Linked DNA regions of Drosophila melanogaster. The protein of the gene in region 2 interacts with the protein of the main gene of each other region in a pairwise test. Each region holds a gene or a part of one and is shown on either strand. Other genes may lie near its edges.

Region 1 (7,089 bases), about 17 Mb from region 2:
AGCCGTATCCGGCTGCTGGACATTGATGGCTGGTGCTGTTCGCGGTGGCTGCTGTTGCACTGACTGCTGCTCCTGGCTGGCGGACCAGCGCTCCGGATAATGCTCCATTTCATCCATACGTGGACTGCGTCGCAAGCCAGGTGAACCACCCCTTGATTGCTCCTCTGCTGCGATAGAGGTTTGCAGCTTTTTGGGGGAAAGGTGAAGCGGAAAAGCAAGCGGAATGTGGGAGCAGTAGCAATATGAAAAGCAAAGAGGTAAAGCAGTTAGGACAGTTAGTTATGCGGCAGTGGTGTCTGCGATTGGTGGATTAGGTTGTGGTCGAAATTATTGGGTGAGAAATGATGCCAGGTGTCTGTGCTACGCACTTACATTGGATTTGTTGCTGTCGCTGGTATCCACTGCTTGCGGGTTGTCCTTCTCCGCTTCTTTGTCCTAACACACACATAATAAATCATTGATATAGATCCTCGGCTTGTAGATTCATTTACTCACCAACTGCTCCTTGGAAAGTTGTTGTTTTAGGGCAGCCACTGCCTGTTCGTTTTGTGCCTCAGTGGCCTCTTCAAAGGAGGACGATTTTGGCTCATTTGTAGCTTCTTCCTCCACATCCTCTCCCCTGGATGGTCTTTCTAGTTCGATTTCCTCCTCGTCTATGGAGAGCGCTTTTTCCCGCTTCCAAAACTCGGTATCCTTATAATGCTCCGGCACAACCTCACCCCAGGGATTTGTGCTCTCCTCACCGAGCATCTCTAAGGATGTGGTCGACTCTGCCGTTGGTCTAACATCCTTTGCTGGACTCCTTTTGTGACGTCGGTGGGATTTAACCCTCAGGGTAGGTTCGCTCGTATACTTGATGGGGTTATAGTCCTCTCGGTCGCCGTGGCGCAACTCCTCCTCCTCTAGCGAGGTGAACATCTTTAGTTCTTCGTCGCGGGAGGCTCGCGATTCCCGCGAGGAGTTCGAGCTTCCACTGGATCGTCGCTTCTTAAAAGCCCTTCTTCTCCCTGAACCATCCTCTCGCATCAAAGGACGATTCTTAATGCCATCTAGAGAACGAAGGTAGTCCTCGGTGTACTGGACTTCCTGTATCTGATCTTCTCCTTCAGGTTCTGGGCGTTCACTTTCGATTCTGTTGCCCTCATCAGAGGGCTGCGTGCTGAAGGACGACTGCTGGATGGAGAACGGAGTTTTGGGTTCAAGAGAGGATCCTTCATCCGATACGCCAGGGAAGGTGAGTGTTTTTGACTTTGCTGAGTAGGCGTCTTCAGGACCACTTCCTTGACCAAATTGAGTTTTCACTTTATGCACCATGGGTTCTTCTGGAGGCTCCTGAAACCTGGGTGGAGCCACTTTCTTCACACACAGCTCCTCCACCACGGGTTCCATGCCAGCATACTCGTCTGCCTCCTCTTTGCTGTGTGAGGCTTGAAGTTGGCGCTGTTGTAACATTACCATCTCCTCTTCTGCCTCAAGAAAGCGTCTGGCGTTTTCCTCAATCATTCGCTGTTTTTGCTCCAGATCAGTTCTGCTGGAGATCAGGCGACGCGACTGCTCTGCGATGGCAGCATCCTCCTCCAGTTCGCTCTCTGTAGCGCTTGGACTGAGCTCTCTTTCTGCTGCCAGAAGACGCTCTACGATCTCCGCATCCCTCAGTGCTTGCCCTTCTTCGTCAGCTTGATCGCGCTCTCGCTGAATCTCGGCATCAAAGAGACGACGCTCGGCTTGCGCTGCCTCGGCTTCAGCCAGGATCCTTTGTTGTTCGGCTCGCTCCTTTTCGGCTTCGGCCTGCTCTCTCTGACGCTCTGCCACGACGATTCTTCTTTCGCTTTCTTCTCGCTCGCGCTGCTCTTCAGCTTCTTGCAGTCTTCGCTCATTCTCCTCCCTTTCCCGTTCGGCATCTATCAGCCTTCTTTCGTTTTCTAGGCGTTCTTTCTCCTCGTTTTCGCGCTGTTTACGCTGATTTTCTTCTGCTTCTAGCTGTCTGCGTTCGGCTTCTCTTTGTTCCTGCAGTTCTTTCTCCGCCTGCTCTCTTTCGCGCTGTCTTTCCGCCTCTACGAGCTTTCTCTGCTGCTCCTCCGATTCCTCTTTCTCCCTCTGGACTCGTAGTCTTTCTTCTACCAGCTTGGCCTCGGCTTCGGCCAGCTGACGCCTCGTATCGGCTTCAATTTGCTGTTGACGTGCCAGTTCGGCTGCCAAAGCTTGTCTTTTATCTCCAGCAGGATCTACTCGTATTCCATTGACATATAGGACACCATCCTGCATGACATTGGTTCCTGCCAGGGCTTCCCTTTCCGCCGCCTCCTTGATCTGCTTATCCAATCGCTCTCGCATGCGAGGCAATTCTTCTGCGTCAGCTGCTGCATCTACAGAAGAATCGCCGGGATGTTGGAAAGTCCAGTGGTATAGATGGCGCGCCACAAAGGCGAATTCCAGGGCACCTAGGTATCCAATTAGCAGCGAGAATAGTAGCTCGCCGACGCCGGTTAGCGCCGTCTCCTCAGCGGCCATTGCGTAATGACCAGAATCGAAACGGAATCCGAATCCTCCAACGTTCGCCGATGCAATGAGAGTATGTGTCGACGAGAACCGAATCGGCTAACACGTATTATATAAAATATATTCACCACGCACTCGAAAATTCACACCACTCACGTTAATGGCCAGCCGATTAGGTAATTCGAAAAATATTTATTTCACTTTCGCTCACAAATCATTGAACCAATCATCGATATATATTCATTTATCTACGTTTTGAGACGATTTATGAGAGCGCGAAGCAAGAAGAATCGGAGATGGGCGGACTCGCCAGGCGGATGCAGTTGCTCGGGCGGCGAGCTCTTGTTTTCCGCTAATCGATCGTCTTGCAACTGATTAATGCCCCAGCCAATGCCCATGGGTCCCCCGATTTCTAGAGAACAAGTGAATCAGCGGCGAGAGAACCGCCAAGAACCGAATCCGTTCAAATGGCAAACGGCGCTAATTGACGGCCAGCGATGAGAGCAAAAGGCCTGTAGAGCTGACAAGACATCGCCGACTTTTGTCGCTGGCAATTTGGCAACACAAATGTATCTGCTTCTGTCCGCTGCCGTTGTTGCACTGCCTTGCCTCCGTGTCAAATGCCAAAGCAATCGGAATTGGCCAAAGCCGATTTTCTAATCAGTTTAGTCGACACCCCGCCGGCCGCGCCCCCTTTTCGTTTGGGGGGAACTATTTTTGGTCTATGCTTCGATTGCTGTTTTCCACAAAACACTTTTCGCCACTTTCTGCTTTGCTCGCCGTTTTCGTGCGGGAGAACAGTTAGCGACATGACCATAAATCGGATAGGGAAAATCAAATGCAACTGTCATTTCGATAACATAATGAAGAGTTTTTTAATCTCAAGCAAGTATCAAGATTTAGGGATCTTTTCTTTCCTATCCTTTTATTCAGGTTTAAAAATTCAATTTATCAAAATTAATCAGAAAATGTTTCTTTTGATATTTTAAAATAATAAAAAATCAAGTATTTTCTGAAAAACATGATCTTTCTATACTGCATACCACACATATTATTCAGACGCACAGTTGGCTGCAATAATATACAGAGCTAAGGTGCCAATTTCCATAAAAATGCTTAATTTGGCATTAATGGTCACATCGTATCTCCGATTTTAGAAAAAATAACATTTAAGAGTACAATGTTGAGATACAATTTTGTTTATAAAATGCCCAATTCTTTTGTTTATTTTGCCAATAAAATTTGGTATTCTCGAAAGTGGGAAAAATATATTTTAGCATTCGTAATTCTTATGGGCATGACTTTTACTGTTCCTGGTGTTTGCAAATCAGTTTTCTTTGGCATTGCCAGCGCCTGGGGCCAGGGTCGCCACGCCCCATTTCGCCGCCTCCGAGCGGATTGCACACAAATGTTTGCCATAAATTTCGTCTTGGCACTGACACTAACATTGCCAGCAGCTTTCAGAGGCTCTTTATCGCCGATTTCGCTGTGGTTCTCTTCTGCGTTTTCAGAATCAGTATAATTATTGTCAAACGCGGCATAATTGTGTTCTTTGCCCCACAAAGCCAAACTATTTTTGTATTCTTTTGTTTATTCTCATCATCTGATTGTCATTAGAAATTGTGGCAAAAATAGATAGATTTATATGAATAAATGGGTCATCTGGGCTCTGATATATTCATATGTTTATTTTGCTTTTCGCAACGAAAGCGAAAGTGTTTCTGATGGTAATTTAAATTTATTTTGAATAAATTTAAACATGGTTTTTTGTACAATAACACCGAAAGGCGACAGACAATGCAATTTCTTTATCCAACATTTTCTAATTAAAAATCGATCAACACGCATATAAAAAAAATTTATTTACTTGCATATTACACCCCCAATCTATTTAAAATCAAAATAAATGGATAAAGGATATTTTCAATCGAGCTAAAGCAGTTTGTGCACATCAATAACAAATTGCGAATACCTGCAGCAATTTTTAGCAATCTCTAACCTTAACCGAATGCCACAAATTTCCGGCTCACTCGCAATGAACTTCCGCTCGACGGATGACAACGCGTCAACAGCCAGTGCTGCCAATGAACTGCCTTCATTTCTTTGTTGCCATCGCCACTCGCGAGTCGCTGCATTTGCGGAGCTGGAGGATAGATATCCCCGGGATCCCCGACTCCCACAGGCAGCCAAGTGAAGTTCAATGAAAATGCCATAACCTTTGGAAAGGGCGATTGCCGCACCTATGCAATAAACGTGAACTGCGTGCGGCGGGCGATAAAAACCAGAGCCCGTGACAGCGAGCACTCACTCACACGGACACTCTTGATTTGCCAGGCGACACACAGATACCATCTGCAGACGTTGCCCCAAAAGTGTGCCACACAATATTTGTCAATTAGGGATCGGATAGGTGGGGTTATGCCAAAGACGACTCACCTCATCACAGCCAGCGCAGCGGGGCTTCAGCATTTCCGCATAGTGGCGCTCGCAGTAGACCTTGTCGTCGTGGACGCAGTAGGTGAGGTCCACGAGTAGCGAGTTGCAGGTGCTGCAGGTGAAGCACTTTGGGTGCCACATCACGCTCTCCACAAACTTGGGCGCCGCCACAACTAGCTCGCCGGCGGCTATCTCGTTATCACAGTGCGCACAATGCTCATCGTAGGGGGCATCCTTGATGTAGGCTATTCAACAGGAAAATAATGCAAAACGCAATTAGTTAGGTCACTCTGGGTGAGGTCAGGCAATTTAAACTAAAGCCATTCGCAGGCTTGTCATAATGTGTAATGCCTAAGTTAATTATGTGAAAGAGTGTATATATTCGTTTTTAGAATTTACTAAAAACATCAACACAATAGTTCCAACTTAATTAAAGATCTAGTCTTACCTATGTCCAGTGCGATTTCGTTTCGCGCCGTCACAAAGTCCTCGAAGGAAGCCTCGTGCTGCACCTCCAGGTGCTTGCAGTGCTCCAGCGAGAGGTCCTGTTTGGGCAGCTGGTAAGAGATCTGTCGCTCCCGGCTGCAGGCGCCTTCGCTGCCCAGCCGGGGTACCATTTCGTCGGGCAGCTGCTCGAAGTAGCGGTTGATGCGCGAGGAGGCACGCACTCCGGGCGGAACCCACGTGAAGCCCAGATCCCGCGCCTCCACTCCCGAATCCGCCGGAGAGACCAATTTGAAGCCGAGTCGCTCATGCACGTTGGTAGTCTGTTGCTGATAGATGGCATGCGCCTCGCGAGGACATTTGCAGGACTGGCAGGTTTTCCTGGAAATTAAGAGGGAAATAAGGTCGTTTAATACATTATACTTTATATACAATGTAACAACATTGCTGAAGATAATATTAATTCGAAAATATTTTATCAATAAATTCCAAATTCATTCCACTGTGCGCAGCTTCGTTATGCTTCAACGTAAGTTCGCGTGGCGCCATCCAGCGGCAGCTTTGCGAACCCGGCTATTGCCTTACCTCACGATGAGATCGTATATTTCCTTCCTATCGAATACTTTGCAGTAGATACTGAGCACGTTCAGGCAGGCGTAGTCCATTCCCGTCCATGGGACATCCGAGGAGGCCAGTGCCGCCCACAGTGGGCACTCTGCGTGACGGTCCAGATCGAGCATTTTCACCATTTTACGCCACTTTCAACAGCACTTTGAACTAAGGGTTTTTGGCTTTATATTCGCTTCTTCTCTTTTTTTTTATTCCTATTACTGTTACCGTTTGTCTTAATGAACTTGACTTGGCTCTCGTGGGTTTCTGCTTAAATATCTTTTCTTATTGCCTGACTCGGCACAATTTGTCGGTTCTTCTTTGGTGATTCGCGCTGCCACCTCCACGAAAATAAGAGAAACTCGCAACTTAGGTTAAATCACCTTTCATTCGGCACGTCGGTGCGCGTTATTTGCTCATTGACATTTTGATTAAAGTGCTAATTTGACCTTTGTTCTGATAGCATTTGTTTACTATCCAAGAATTTAATTTTACCTCTGCGCGGTATTCTACGGTCTGGGAATTTCTCTAATTGCTTGTTTACTTATTTTTCAATTAGAGATACAAGCAAAATAATCACAATCATAAATACGCCCACACCAGTGAAATTGTGCGTAGGCCCATTACCAGTATACAGAAAGATAAATTGCAGATTGTATAGTAAATCGGATAAACTAACTAATTTTAAAATATTATTTATCAGTCAAAGGTTCAGAAGAGTATTACAAAAATAAAAAAGAAGGTCTGATAGAATGAGCTCACGATTATGGCATGCCCGTTGGTCTGACATTCAGCGAAAATAAAAACGGCCAAGCAATGAAATAAAATAAAAGGTAGAAAAGCATCTTTTGATAAGATTAATAAAGGTCTCTCCCCCTATACACACACACACACACACACACACAGGCACCCAGCAATCCTGGGTTGGGATTGGCCATAAGTGTGTGTGTGTGTGTGATGTCATCGGGGGGAGCTGAAAACGAAAAACTCCAAGCCCAAAACCGAAATTGCCAAATTCCATTTGCTCAATCATCGACGGAGGCCAAACTGCGTTAGCGTTCAAAATAAGATAAGCCGATGTGAGTTCTTCCACCTAAATGC
Region 2 (8,310 bases):
AGGTCCGTGATATTCTCGATTCGATGCACAAGGACTGCAAGATTCCACTGGCCAAGCTTATGGTAGACGGGGGCATGACTGTGAATAATCTGTTCCTGCAGCTTCAATCCGACCTAGTAGGAATTCAAGTACTCCGGGCGAAGATCGCAGAGACAACAGCGCTGGTTAGTACTTTAACTTGTGATGTAAATGCAGCTTCAATAATGCTTCAAAAATGCTTTAGGGAGCTGCAATGGCAGCCTACAAAGCCGTTGAAAACCGATACCAAATGGAGGCTCCACTCTCTAAATCTGGCCCCCGAGAAGCCATAAAGCCATCGATCAGTGCCACCGATCGCAACCTGCGCTACCAAAAGTGGAAAATGGCTATCGATCGTTCACTGAACTGGGAGACTTCGACGCTTCCACAGGGCGAACGGGAGGCCTTTGACGGAGCGTGATCACAGCTAATGTCTGGTAACGTTCATGTTCTTCTATTCGTAAATCAATTGCTTGGTTTTTCGTATTCGAAATTTCCATTTATTACATATACATATAAAAATGTTAATTAAAAACGTAAAGTGTTTTTCTGTGCGCTGTGATGCTCTGGCAGTGTGTTCCGACTACCAGCCGGTCAGTTGATCTACATATTTTCATCAACTATTCCGACGGCAACAGCGATCGCTGCCTGGTCCAACTCGTTGAGCATTACAACGCCCCCGGCCGCCTCGTCGACGGCTACCACGACTGCTGGACCAGCCACGCCTATAGCTGCGGGTGCGACGGCCATACCGGCAGCGAGCTCAGCGTTATTGGGATGCGGATTAGCCACTGCTATAGGGGGAATCGGATTTCCACCTGAAAACGAATTTGGGCTTTAAGGGAGCTGTTACTCTCCGTTTCGAGCCTTACGCACTTGCGTCCAATTCCAGTGGCGGATCTGCATTTGCTTCCGCTAGATTCGTTACAGACTTGGATTTTACACATTGGAAATCAACATGGCGACTCTTTGCTTCCTCCTTCTCCCAGGACATGTGGATGAAAGGTCGCTGCACATAGCTGTAGATGACTTCAGCCCGTCCACCGGGACGCCTTCGGATCTTCTCTTTGTGGGTGGGGTATCCCTCTATGCCACAGCGTATCTTCTTCAGACCGCGATCCTTCATCACCTGTTTGGCCACATCGCGGTTCTCGATGTACTTGAAGAATCGGTGCATGGCAGTGCTGTGCACGGCTGCGTTAGAAATGTTAGTGTTGCTTCCACTTCCGTGATACTAATGCAAACACATTTTTTAAATACACTCACTCTGACAATACTCCTCGCCCATCTGAGGCGGAAACTCTTCATCCCACTCGACCATATCGTCTTCAAGGAGCACCACAACGTGACACTCTCGATCCCCGCGCTGCGCCGAGGCCACCATGAGGGGCAGAATTAGGTCCTCAAGAAAGAGTTCAAATTGTTGTCGCGCTCCTTCGTTGCTAAGCTCGTGGAGAAGGCCTCCTTTATGTCAAACATAACAGAGGGCATGTTACAAGGAAAGAGACGGAAAACAAGCAGAGGTGGCCACAACTAAGGTTCGCCCTGGCAGGAATAGTTCGCGTTATACTCACTTAGGTTCTGGCAGCGCACCGTGGTTGCGTCGAAGGGAATGAGCAGATAATCACAGGCTTCTTTTAGTTCCGGTACCGAAACAGTGGGCGGGCAGCGGATAACACCGCTTTTGTAGTACTCCAGAATGGCTCTGAACACTAAGTGCGAAATGCCGTCGGCAACGTCGTACTCGCCGCGCTCGTTGGTATGAGCGAACTGGAAGCCGGAGCCGAACATCGTGCCAAGCATTGTGGTGGGATGTGCTGTAAGCAGTGATTGCTCCACCGTGAAGCGCACACCGTCCACCAGCATGGTGATCCTTTCGGGAGGGAGCGGCAGGCGGCCCATTCCGGAACCAGTTGCCTGGCAGCTGGGAGATGCTCCGCAAGGGGATTTTATGTCGTGCTTGGGCACAGCACCTCCGCCTGACATATTGTGCTGCGGACGGTTCAGCCGGCTGCGCTCCTTCAGGATGCGCCTCCTCCGCTCCTCGGCTGTTTCGAGAACTTCCTCGCTGCTGTCGCTACTGTACGTGTCCTGCTTCTGGGCAAGGGGCGCCTTGCTACTGATATTGCTACTACTACTGTTCAGACTTGGAGTGTTTGACATGTTTGTTGCGTTTGATGAGCCACTCTTCAAATATTCCAGTACAACACCGTTCCACCGACTTTTCGAGAGAGACAAAGACAATCTGGCAGAGGGCGGTCAAATTAGCGAGGCTCCGTTGAAAAAAAGCCTGCTTATCGCTGCATCAGAGGTCCGATTAAATAGTATTCACGTTACCTTTGTGCGACGCGACTTTTTCCTTTTTACATATAGTTATAAATATACATATTTTTTCTTGTTGGTGCTGGAGATGGGCTCCTGGGTGCGCTCAGTCGATAGTTTTCCTCTGTAATCACAATAACATATTTTTAACCGATATTTATCTTCAATCGCGATGTTTGTTTTCAGCTTATCGGGTTTTTTTTAACGAATAAAAAATTCCTCTCTAAAAAAATAAAAAGATTGTAATTTCATCATTTCGACATTGTTTGTTACATAATTATTAACTTCTATTAAGTTAAGAAAATCTATAATATTTAGAGGTAATAATAAGAAAATTCTTAATTAACATATCTTAACTTAATGGAAATAACTTTTTTTTTCAAATACAAATTAATATGAAAATTCTGTGGAAATTAATTAAATGTTGTTAAAACAAAATACAGCGTTGGGCCGAATGCAACTCTGTATATACCCAAGCTGTGTATCGATACCGACCACCGACTAAATGCACTCGATAGTTTAAATTTGCAACCGTTCATCATGGCGATCTGAGAAAAATAATTTTTGCTCAAAAATAAAATAAATAATCAAAAGAATTGTAATTCCTGCGAACGCAAATGCGATTTTGGGAAACGTGAGTTTGATACGGACGCTTCACGAAATGCGAAGACTGTGAGCGGTCTTCGGTCAGTAACAAGTGCTTGGCGTGTGTGTCTGCGGCGGCAAAAAACCCAAATGTAAAATATATAACAAAATCCCAACTCCCCCAAGAATGGGCAGTGCGAAAGTGGCGCCCTGAGTGGGCGTGTCGCGTGCGGAAGCGCTAGCGACGAGCAGAGTGGCTGTCTAGGTTTGCGGATAGCAATAACAAATAAGTTGTTATAATAAAAGTGTAAAAAAAAGTGCAAAAACTTTGATTGCTTCTGAGTAGTGAAGTGTCGGAGGGGTATGCTGGGTGCCGTGTATAAGCTGGCGGATGCAACACGAACGCCACCTGCTTGCCTCCTGCTTGCACTCACGCGCATAGTAAGCGCGCCCTTAAACGAGCGTGCTATGTGCGAGCGGGAGGGCGCCTGTGGGTTTTGCACCAGTCACCTATTGGCAGCTTGAACGTTTTTCTATATTTTTTGTGTATTTTCGGAAAGCATAGAAAATGTGGACACTTACTGGGAACGCTCCTAATATAAGCGAATAACCCACAAACATATGCCTTCTCTCCCACCAGACTAGCGAATGCTCGTCGAGAATCCAAACCAGTGAGCCAAACGCCAAAGAAAAACTTGCAAAAGTCTGTGGATAAACAACGAACAATAACAAAAGGCAGCAAGCGGAAGGTGGCAGTGGAAGTGGACTAACTCGCCCGTGGAGAAGTGCGGAGCACACAGGACTGCAAAGTGGCGTCGCTACTGGATATTAGGGCTGGGGCAGCAGCGGCGTCCATGTCCACGGGGCACAAAGGGTGGACCACCAAGAATCACGACCGCACCACATCCAGGAGAGCGCAGCAGCAGCAGCCGGTGTGGTGTCGCCAACTGTGGCCTTAAGCATGTAGTAAGTAAATTTGGTTAGTAAATAAATCGCGTGAAATACGTATTGAAGCTGCTTTTGCCTTCTTACTTCTAGGTCTTGCAGCAAAGAACCCGTTCTCTAACAAGCACAAGACACAAGGGACAAGGTACCAATCGAAGCAAAAACACACAAATATCCAATCAACACCAATGAAAAATGTCACAAAGAGGTAAGCGCGGTAATCAGCAGCATCACCAGTCGCACCATCCGCCGCCGCAACAGCATCAGCGCAAGGATGTTGAGCCGCAGCCGCCGCCCACCAAGCGGCGCAAAGGTAGGCCACCTAATGGAGCCACTACGGCAGCAGTAGCTGAAGTGACTGGATCGGGTCCAGCTACAGGATCGGAGCGTGTGCCAGTTCTGCCTTTGTGCAAAAGCAAACATGAAGAGCCAGGGGCGGAAGCGGGGGGAGGAGGACAAGGAAGAGCCGCGGCAGGCGCTACCAGCACTAGCAAATCGAAGTCAACGAAACTGGCAAAGTCGGCAAGCAAGTGCAAGTCGCAGGGGGCGAGTTCTAGTAGCTCCTGGCAGGCGCGGTCTGTAGCGGACATCAAGATGTCGAGCATCTACAATCGAAGCTCAACGGAAGCTCCAGCTGAACTTTACCGGTATTAACAGACCAGCAAACCAATTAGAAACGATTCAATAATATTCAAATTTTAATTGCAGCAAGGATCTCATTAGCGCAATGAAATTGCCAGACTCTGAGCCGTTGGCCAACTACGAGTATTTAATAGTAACAGACCCATGGAAGCAGGAATGGGAAAAGGGTGTGCAAGTGCCCGTTAACCCAGACTCCCTTCCTGAGCCATGCGTCTATGTTCTGCCCGAGCCTGTTGTGTCTCCAGCGCACGACTTTAAGCTGTAAGTTAATACCTAGCATATTTTTTTTTCGTACTTGTGAATTTCTGTACTGAACTGCGGCTCTCGTTTACAGCCCGAAAAATCGCTATCTGCGCATTACCAAAGACGAGCACTACTCGCCGGATCTGCATTACCTGACGAATGTTGTTGCCTTGGCGGAGAACACATGTGCCTATGATATAGATCCTATTGACGAGGCCTGGTTGCGTCTCTACAACAGCGATCGTGCCCAATGTGGTGCTTTTCCCATAAACGCGACGCAGTTTGAGCGCGTCATTGAGGAGCTAGAGGTAAGCTCACTAGACCCCATGCTGAACCAATATATTGACTTTTGCGTTCTAGGTTCGTTGCTGGGAACAGATTCAAGTCATACTTAAACTGGAAGAAGGCTTGGGCATCGAATTCGATGAGAATGTCATCTGCGATGTTTGCCGATCGCCCGACTCCGAGGAGGCGAACGAAATGGTATTCTGTGATAATTGCAATATCTGTGTGCACCAGGCGTGTTATGGCATTACAGCAATTCCATCAGGTAAGCAGCACCTAGTGGAGTGGAAATGTTAGTGTGCTCATGTAAACTTTTGTTTCAGGACAATGGCTATGCCGCACTTGTTCGATGGGAATTAAGCCGGACTGTGTCCTCTGTCCAAATAAGGGCGGCGCTATGAAATCCAACAAGTCGGGTAAGCACTGGGCACACGTCTCTTGCGCTCTGTGGATACCCGAGGTCAGCATTGGGTGTGTGGATCGCATGGAACCCATCACGAAAATCTCTAGCATTCCTCAGTCGCGTTGGTCCCTGATCTGTGTACTCTGCCGAAAGCGAGTTGGCAGCTGCATCCAGTGCTCAGTAAAGCCCTGCAAAACAGCATACCATGTGACTTGCGCGTTTCAGCATGGCCTGGAAATGCGTGCAATCATAGAGGAAGGTAATGCTGAGGACGGCGTGAAGCTGCGCTCTTATTGTCAGAAACACAGTATGAGCAAGGGTAAGAAGGAAAATGCTGGTAGTCATGGGGGAGGCAGTGCCTCAGTCGCAAGCGCCATGCAGAAAGCAAACAGATACGGCAGTGGGGCTGGTGGAGGAGCCGACGACGGCAACAACGCGTGCGGGACAACTGGAGAGGATCCACGCAGGCGGAAAAATCACCGTAAAACCGAACTGACCTCCGAGGAACGTAACCAAGCCAGAGCTCAGCGCCTCCAGGTTAGTAGTTTCTTTTCCGTTGTGCCTTCTGCATGCATTCGGTTGCTAACTTTTCCCATTGATTTTCAGGAGGTGGAAGCTGAGTTCGATAAGCATGTTAACTTTAATGACATCAGTTGCCATCTATTTGATGTCGACGACGATGCTATTGTTGCCATATACAATTATTGGAAGCTTAAGAGAAAGTCTCGACACAATCGCGAGCTTATCCCGCCCAAGTCCGAAGATGTGGAGATGATAGCCCGCAAGCAGGAGCAACAGGACATGGAAAATCATAAGTTGGTGGTGCATTTGCGACAGGATTTGGAGCGAGTTCGTAATCTCTGCTATATGGTTAGTCGAAGAGAAAAGCTTTCGCGCTCTCTCTTTAAGCTACGTGAGCAGGTATTCTACAAGCAGCTGGGAGTTCTGGATGAGATGCGCTTGGAGAAGCAGCAGACCAAACAAGAGCAGCAACAACCTGTGATGGATCTGAACGCTGTAATCTACGCCAACGACGGACCTACTTTGTATGACCGTTTCTACAGCTCTGTGGGAGGACAAACTGTGCCGGCGCAGTACCAGGATTTGAAATACATCCTTGAACAGCTTATGGGTAAGCTGCAGAGTGGTAAACAGGGCCGTGGCCGTGCCTCGCAGTCTCCTAACAAACGCAAGCAGCCTGCTAAAGCTTCGCCAAACAAGAAGCTTAATAATGGCATTCTTAGTTCACGCACGTCATCGCCTGAGAAGACTGTGGCAGGGAGTAAGGTGGGAACGACTACATCCAAGGTACGGTCTCCGCCAGGGAAGAATCCTACAGGGAGGCGTGCCTCGAAGAGCAGCGCGGCGGCGGCGACGTCGACCCACAACAAAAGTCAATTCCACTCAAATATCCGCAGTAGCACGACCTCCCATTCGTCAAGCGGCACTATATCATCAGGTAATTCCAGCTCGGCGAATGGTACCAGCAGCTCCGATAGTTCCTCAGGAAGTGATTCGGGTAGTGAAAGCGGTAGCTCTAGCGCGGGTAGCGGAGTCTCCAAGCGAAAGTCTTCCTCAGGAAGTCCCCTTAAAAAGCAAAGCTACGCTCGGTCCGTTGAGCAGCGGCAAAAACAGCGACAGCGACGTCAAAATGAAGCAGTTGCGGGTGCGTCTGCAACGTATCCGGATTCCAGGTCTGCAAGCAGCTCCAGCGACGGTGAAGACGAGCGATGTAGAAACCGCCAAGAACCAGAGCGCGGTGCGAGACGGGGGCCAATTCAAAGCAAATCAGTACCTAATAGGAGCCAGGCAAGTAGGTCAAAACCTACAACGGAAGCAGACGTTGGAGAGGGAACTGGAGCCTCTGCAAGACGAAAGTTGTCTACGACAACACGAGGACTTGCCCAAATGGATAAAGATGCCGATGAGAGCGTATCGAGCGACGAAAGTGAGGAATTGTTGCCTCTAAGAGGGGAACGACAGCGTGAGAGCACAACGACTTCCGGACTAGCCACGACTGGTTCGGCCATTGGTAGAAACTTGGGACAGCATATCTACTCCGACTCTGAGAGCAGTTCCTCTGAACAAGAAAAAGACCAGGAGGAGCAGGCCACCGTGGAAAGTAATGTTAGTGACTCACAAAACCAACAGACGATTAGAACAAAGGCAGCTATGAAAGAGTTTGTGCCAGGAACAGCAGCCACAACATCCTCTACTTCCCAAGCAGCGTCCTCAACTAGTAAAGCGAAGAACACGCGGGAAGGAAAGGAAGGGGCTGCCAGTATCGGCAACAGTACAAAAACCAAACCGAACCCGAATGCCAAGTTGTATCCGGCAGATCTTTTGGTGGTGCCACAGCGCCAGGCAGCCAAAAAGGCTTCTGAGAACATGCGATCCACAAATCTCGCCACGACGCTACAGCCAGATGTGTCCGACAGAGTCAGAGAGCCAGACATAAACTCCATTTCAGGAACTGCAAAGAGCAAGGTGAAGGATTCAAGCTCTCGTGTGTCGAATGAAGCGGATAAATCAAGTCTTGAAAAAGTACGACCAAAAGAACACTTACAGAAGACTGTTGGAAAAACGTCCGAAAGCGCACCTGCTGAACGTGGAAAGCGCGGAAGGCCACCAAAGGTCCCAAAGGATGCACGTCCGCCATCTATTACGGAAAATGACAAGCCTGCCCTCCCAACGCATACTCAAAGCAAGCCCCCATCTGTCGTCGCTACCCCAGTCTCAGCCAAGTCGAACTTTGCAGTCTCATTGGTTCCTCAACGGCAAGCGGCTAAGAAGGCAGCGGAGCAATTAAAGAGTAGCAAACCCGTTCTAGAATCTTTCTCAACGGGGAACGACATTTCGGACAAAGA
Region 3 (5,728 bases), on a different chromosome or scaffold from region 2:
GTTTTTTTTTTATTATTTCGATTTTTCTTTTAGAGCCTGCTTCGCGTTTCTTCTTGCTTCTTTGCTGTGGCTCAGCTCTTTTTTTTATGTGTTATTCCATTCTCCTCTCCTTTGCTTTTGACTTTTCGTACGTCGCTCTCACTGTATTGACACAACATTGAGAAATTCCCATTGGTTTTTTTGCCCCCCTTTTTTCACATTTTTGCGCCTAATGGGGGGAATTTGCAGATTTTGTTATTGCATAAAGCGAGAGAGCACGGTGAATATTTAACAACCGTGCGCCTATTTAGCTCTAGGCTGCTTGCAACTTTCTGTGGCACACACACACACGCGCGCTCATTGCCTGTTTGCTGCGTATGAAAAATGGTTTTCCAATCCGTATTCACCACGCGTTTTGCGCGCACTCTCCAATTACGCATAAGCCCCTTTGCAGAAACCGATTAACCGTTAGTTTAGCAAGTATAATTGAATTTTTTATAACAGCAACAGCAAATAAAAAGCGACGGAATTTTTCTCAAAATGTTTTGTACGGTATTTTTTTAGTGACTGCCCGTCGCTGGCCATATTTAGCAGCTCTTCGCTGCGAATGGCAATGGCACTGTTATCGATTAATCGGCCATCCCTATTGGCACAATGATAGTGGGTTTTTGTTTTTTGAAATTTTATTTCACACACTCCGTACATCGGTTACAAAAATCAGGATAGACCCTTAATCAATAATAATGCATCCTTGGGATTACTTGGTCGGCTGCTTCGCTTGCTTCTCCTTCTTGGCAGCCTCGGCCTCCGCCTGTACCTTTGTGTACTTCTCGATCAGCTTCTCCACATCGGGTTTCTCCAGGACACTGTATACGGTCTTATTGTCCACACGCTGCAGCGTGGCCATCTCGACCTTCTCCGGGGTCAGCTTGGTGGTGTCCAGGGTCATGCTCAGTACCTTGATGGCCAAATCCTTGGCGTCCGCCAGCGTCAGCTTCACGTTCTCCTTATCGGCCAGCTCCTGCTTCAGCATGGAGATCGCGGCACCGAAGTTGTTGCCAATACAGGTGGCCTTCCATCCGCCGTAGTTGCCGCTGGGATCCGACTGGTACAGTTGGTAGCCGTACTTGTTGTCCCATCCCATGTAGAGCAGCGAGACGCCGAAGGGACGCTTTCCGCCGTACTGAGTGTACGCCTGTTTGATGTCGCAGAGGTGCGACACCAGCTGCTCGCAGGGAATCACCTCGCCGTAGCTGAACTGGTAACGCTGGGCAATCAGACGCAGTTCTGAGGTCAGCACATTGGCATCGGAGGTGATGCCAGCCACCGAGCAGACCATGTTGCTGAGGGAAAACAAAGAGGCTTGGATAGAGATAGATTCGTAGAGAATGTAGTGGGTAATTAAGATCATGGCCAGTTAAATATATGGCCTGTGACCCTTGAATTCATCGTAGGATATACTACTGAAATTTCAACTCACTCGTTCAGGCGATAGATCTTCTCCGAAGGAATGGCGCTGTCCAGCAATTTGTTTGTGCTGCGGCACTCGGCTGCCAACAGGATGCCGTCCTCGGCGAGGATTCCGAGGCAGGTTCCGGCGTGCGAGATGGCCTCCATGGCGTACTCCACCTGGTACAAACGGCCCTCCGGCGAGAAGATCGTGGTGCGGGAATCATAGCGGCGAGCCTGGGAAAATACACGCAAGTCAATTACTACCACGATTGCTAGCCTTCAATGGTCATCGGCCCAATGGTGGCTCTCAGACCAATACCGGTCTTCTGGGCGCGGTACTTACCATTGCTAAGGAATATACCAATTTACAAGTTTATTTTGCAAAACGAACAGAATTTACTTGTCATTCAGTGTAGGGTTGCCAGACTGCCACACGAAGTGCGTCCAAAGCGGTACCAGGGCTGCAAACTAGATGGCGTTAGGGTGTTTCTATTTACCAGGGGTGGTGTGCACGTTTATCCACATATCGATATAAGGTATTAAAATCATTTTAACAAAGATCAATTTATAAGCCCTTTAAGATTGAGGTGTACTAAAACATAATATTTACTTGAATTAAACTTAAGAACTTGTGTCAAATTTAGAAAAATTGTATCCTTACTTCATAGCAAAAATTTAAAATAATTCATATATAAAATATATATATATAATAAACAGAAATTTATTATATATATATATATATATATATATATATTATATATATTATATATATATATATATATATATATATATATTATATATATTATATATATATATATTTAACAGAAATAGATAAGAGTAAATATTTCATGAAATCGTTGATAGGAAATCAGGAATTTCTACGATTTTTATTAAGCTTAATTATTAAGCACTATTTCCTGTTAATTTTCAAAAGGTACCATCTCTAGTAACGTCTCTGAAACCTTTCGATATAACCGATAAGTAATCAGCTTGTGTTGTCATTTTTTTAAAAGATGGGCGATCTGCTGAGCGTATGTGTGATGATTTAATTAATGATCAGCTTATAATCGCCATGATTGCAGAACTCGGAATTCTTCAAGAAGCTGGGAGTGGACAGCTCGAACCAGTGGATTCTGTACGATGAGCAGATGGAGATGTTCTTCAAGTTCCTGTCCGGGAACATCACGGATGCAAATATCCTCACAGAGCGACAGGTTCTGGAGCGGGAGGAGATGCAGCGGCGGGGCGAGTGGCTAAGTGCTTCGGATCGCGAGCTCAAGCTCCTGCAAATCGAGGCCGAAAGTCCGGGGCTTCTCAACTACAAGCAGCAGGATGTCGACGCCTTGACCATGAGCATTGAGGCGATCGAAGATGCCTCAAGGGATTATGCTACGCTTCTGGAAGATATGATGTAAGGGAAAAACTGTAACCTTCCTCATATATGTTCGATCGATGGTCAATCCACTTTTGCAGGACCACAAAGCACTCGATAACTAAGCACCTAGGCGAGGTGGAGTGCGTCACCGCCGAGTTGCAACTGAGGGAGAAGGATCTGATAGCCGAGTGCCAGTCCAAAGCCAAGCAACTGGAGGAACTGCAGCAGGAGAACTGCCGGCTAAGCGCCGAAGCCAAAAAGGCATTCACCGCCCCACAGTTGCCGCCTCTATTCATGCATCAACTGCCATTGGAGCAGTATTTCCACAAATGCGATTCATTTATGCAATACTTTACTCTGTATGTGAAGGAGAATTTTAAGATCCAGGACTATGATGAGTTCCAGAGCGCGGAGGAAGATCTTGGGCGCGAAAAGGCCAAGCTGGAGGACTTGGAACGTGGGTAAGCACAAAGGTTCTGTGCTAAAAACAATGCACATTAATTGATATGACCGTTTTTACAGCATCCAGTTTTATGCACTATCCTACATAAGAACAAAGGCCAAGGTGAAGGCCACGCAGTGTCTTATTGACCAGTTGGATCTTGGCAAGATTCACTGCCTCAGTTTAACGGACATGGCGCGTGAAATGCACGATCTGCAGCTGCTCAACGACTATCAACTGAGCAATACACACGATACGCTTTTAAACGATCTAACCATTCACATTCAGCAGCACACCCAGCGACGTATTGAGCTGGTTCTCTACGAGAACACTAAACTGAAGTTGGAAAGAGCTGTTCGACGTCATGAAAGCGACAAGAAGCTCACTAAAATCATCTCAGATGCTCTGTCCAATGCGGAATTGCTGTGGATTGCGATCCAACTGGACTGCGACAAGAAGCGCAACTGCCTGGACACTTCGGAGGAGTTGCGCGACCAAGCGCAGGCCACTTGGCAAAGAATCCAGACCATGCGCTCCATTAACGCCAGTTATCAGGGCATTTGTGCCCAGTTTGTGCAGGAGATTGCCAATTTGTTGTCAGCCCACTTGGGACAGAACATAAAGGCAACTGAGGCCAAGGCTTGTCTCTTCGAATACGAAAAGTTCGGTCGCCTGCTGTCTTACTCCTTTCAGAGCATGCTGAACCGAAAGTCGTGTGCTGCTGTTCAGGATCAACTGGCAGAACTGTAAGTTGCAATACTTAACTTTGATACAGATCGTTTAAGCTATTAATATTTTTTTTTAGCAAGCGCTTGGAGCAGACTTTGCGGCCGTTTGTCTATGATTCCCCATTGGAGCAGCCCATGTTTGAGAACGTTCGCTACTTGAGCGCCATATACAATGTCACCCAGCAGCAAACTCGCCTGGATGAGTCAGGGCGTTCCTTGCGAAAAGATTTCCTGGAAAATGTCGTGGGGCGCATTGTAAGTATACTAATTAACTATAAAATCATGGAATATAACATTTTAATGTTGTTTATCCTTTTAGGAGCGGGATAAACTGTATCGCTATAGCGTAGTCCTGTGGATTTGGTTTCTCACTGAGCCGCAGCGCATGATGCATGCAATTGATGAGGTCAAAAAGGCAGCCGCTGCAGTAATTCGTCCAGGTGGTGGTCTGCACCGCAAGTGAACTTAGTTGATTTAGAATCTGGTCAGTAAATAAATGTTAAATTATTCAAAAATAAACATTACGGCGTTGCTAGTCTAATAATAAGTCAATACACTAAATTTAGGGATGCTGTATAATGTGTGTATGTAAAGATTCTTAGGCAGCAACATGATTTACTTTTGCTTACGACTTTGGTAATTGTTTTCCCCCCTTTGAAATGCCTTTTCCCTGGGCTATCAGATTTGGGTTCACTAAACACCGGGCGTATTAAGGCAGCATCGTCTTAAAGCAGTCTACACGAGTGCCACCAAAGAGACGCATTAATTGCTGGCGGCACGCGACGGCGTTTCCAAGCGATTACCATTCAGATTTGGCCAAGGAGCAACAAGTGAGGCCATAAAACCTTGTTCGCCTAACCTAGAGATTCACTTTCCGTGCAGACGAAGTCATTTGCCCGCCGATTTGCAGGACTCTCATTGGCTGCCGGCATTCGGGCTGCAGGACGAGTTTTGCCGAGCAGAGGTCCTTGCGGATATAAAAGGACCAACAGTTGTGGCCACTGGTTCACTCGATTATCGTGCTTCGGGCCATCTTTCCCCTCGTGACTTCCGGTAATACAATTGGATAAAGTGAAGTGTTTGTGCAAAGTGTGTTTTTTTAGTCAAATAAACCTTAAAAAGTGCTTCTACAAAACATTAAATATTTGGACTGCTTTAAGGACTTTAAATTTAAAGGAGTACAGCAAAGAAGTGGAACATTTTAAAGCTTTAAATGGATAATTACTCGCAACTCATTACCCCTTAGTGCTATTTGAATTAATTTCAAATTTATATGTGACCCTTAAAACTCAAGTGCTGCTCGGCGAATTTGAAGATCTGGACAGATTTTTGGGTTCAAAAGGATATTAAGTCAGTGAATGGGATTTAATATTCATACTGCATGGGCTATAAGAGAATTAATGTCGCAATTCTGTTTTAAATTTAGTAATTTAAAAAGTTAAGGTGTTGAATGTGTAATGTAATTTTAAGGAGCAAATGCAATATTTTGCTAATAATTACCTAATTTAGACAAATTCTTCAAAAGAACAAATATTTGTTCTTGTATCTAGTTACAGCTAAGTTAGCCACTTAGGTCCAGACTTATTGGATATTTTGTGTTTAATAGTTAGACTCCACGAAATGCATCTGCTTGGGATCAGCATCCACTTCTTCTTCCTGATGTACGTCAACTGCTTTAGTGCCCATCCGAATCCCAGGCGCAATGATATAACCTGGGATGATCTGAACAAGGATATTAGTTTGGACTCCACT

What was found. The genes of interacting proteins can lie anywhere in the genome.
Region 1: the proteins of mri (region 2) and Lmpt interact in a two-hybrid assay, tested with the Drosophila melanogaster proteins (one large-scale study listed by BioGRID).
Region 3: the proteins of mri (region 2) and Prosalpha3 interact in a two-hybrid assay, tested with the Drosophila melanogaster proteins (one large-scale study listed by BioGRID).

What each region holds. Positions count from the first base shown.
Region 1 is NT_037436.4:16,895,475-16,902,563, reverse strand, and holds the start of Lmpt (limpet), read right to left. Parts: upstream 3,150-7,089; 5' UTR 2,512-3,149; coding exon 496-2,511; intron 436-495; coding exon 373-435; intron 187-372; coding exon 1-186.
Region 2 is NT_037436.4:194,343-202,652, reverse strand, and holds mri (mrityu), read right to left. Parts: upstream 2,480-8,310; 5' UTR 2,182-2,479; coding exon 1,593-2,181; intron 1,483-1,592; coding exon 1,285-1,482; intron 1,213-1,284; coding exon 895-1,212; intron 837-894; coding exon 622-836; 3' UTR 501-621; downstream 1-500. Other genes in the region: Gk1 (glycerol kinase 1), read left to right, coding at 1-164, 224-439; rno (rhinoceros), read left to right, coding at 4,066-4,517, 4,579-4,773, 4,847-5,063, 5,116-5,305, 5,364-5,980, 6,050-8,310.
Region 3 is NT_033778.4:20,991,040-20,996,767, reverse strand, and holds Prosalpha3 (proteasome alpha3 subunit), read right to left. Parts: upstream 1,869-5,728; 5' UTR 1,778-1,868; coding exon 1,775-1,777; intron 1,666-1,774; coding exon 1,460-1,665; intron 1,323-1,459; coding exon 737-1,322; 3' UTR 650-736; downstream 1-649. Other genes in the region: dgt3 (dim gamma-tubulin 3), read left to right, coding at 2,445-2,462, 2,514-2,842, 2,905-3,267, 3,329-3,994, 4,054-4,231, 4,296-4,439; CG3216 (uncharacterized protein), read left to right, coding at 5,597-5,728. UniProt on the Drosophila melanogaster protein: The proteasome is a multicatalytic proteinase complex which is characterized by its ability to cleave peptides with Arg, Phe, Tyr, Leu, and Glu adjacent to the leaving group at neutral or slightly basic pH.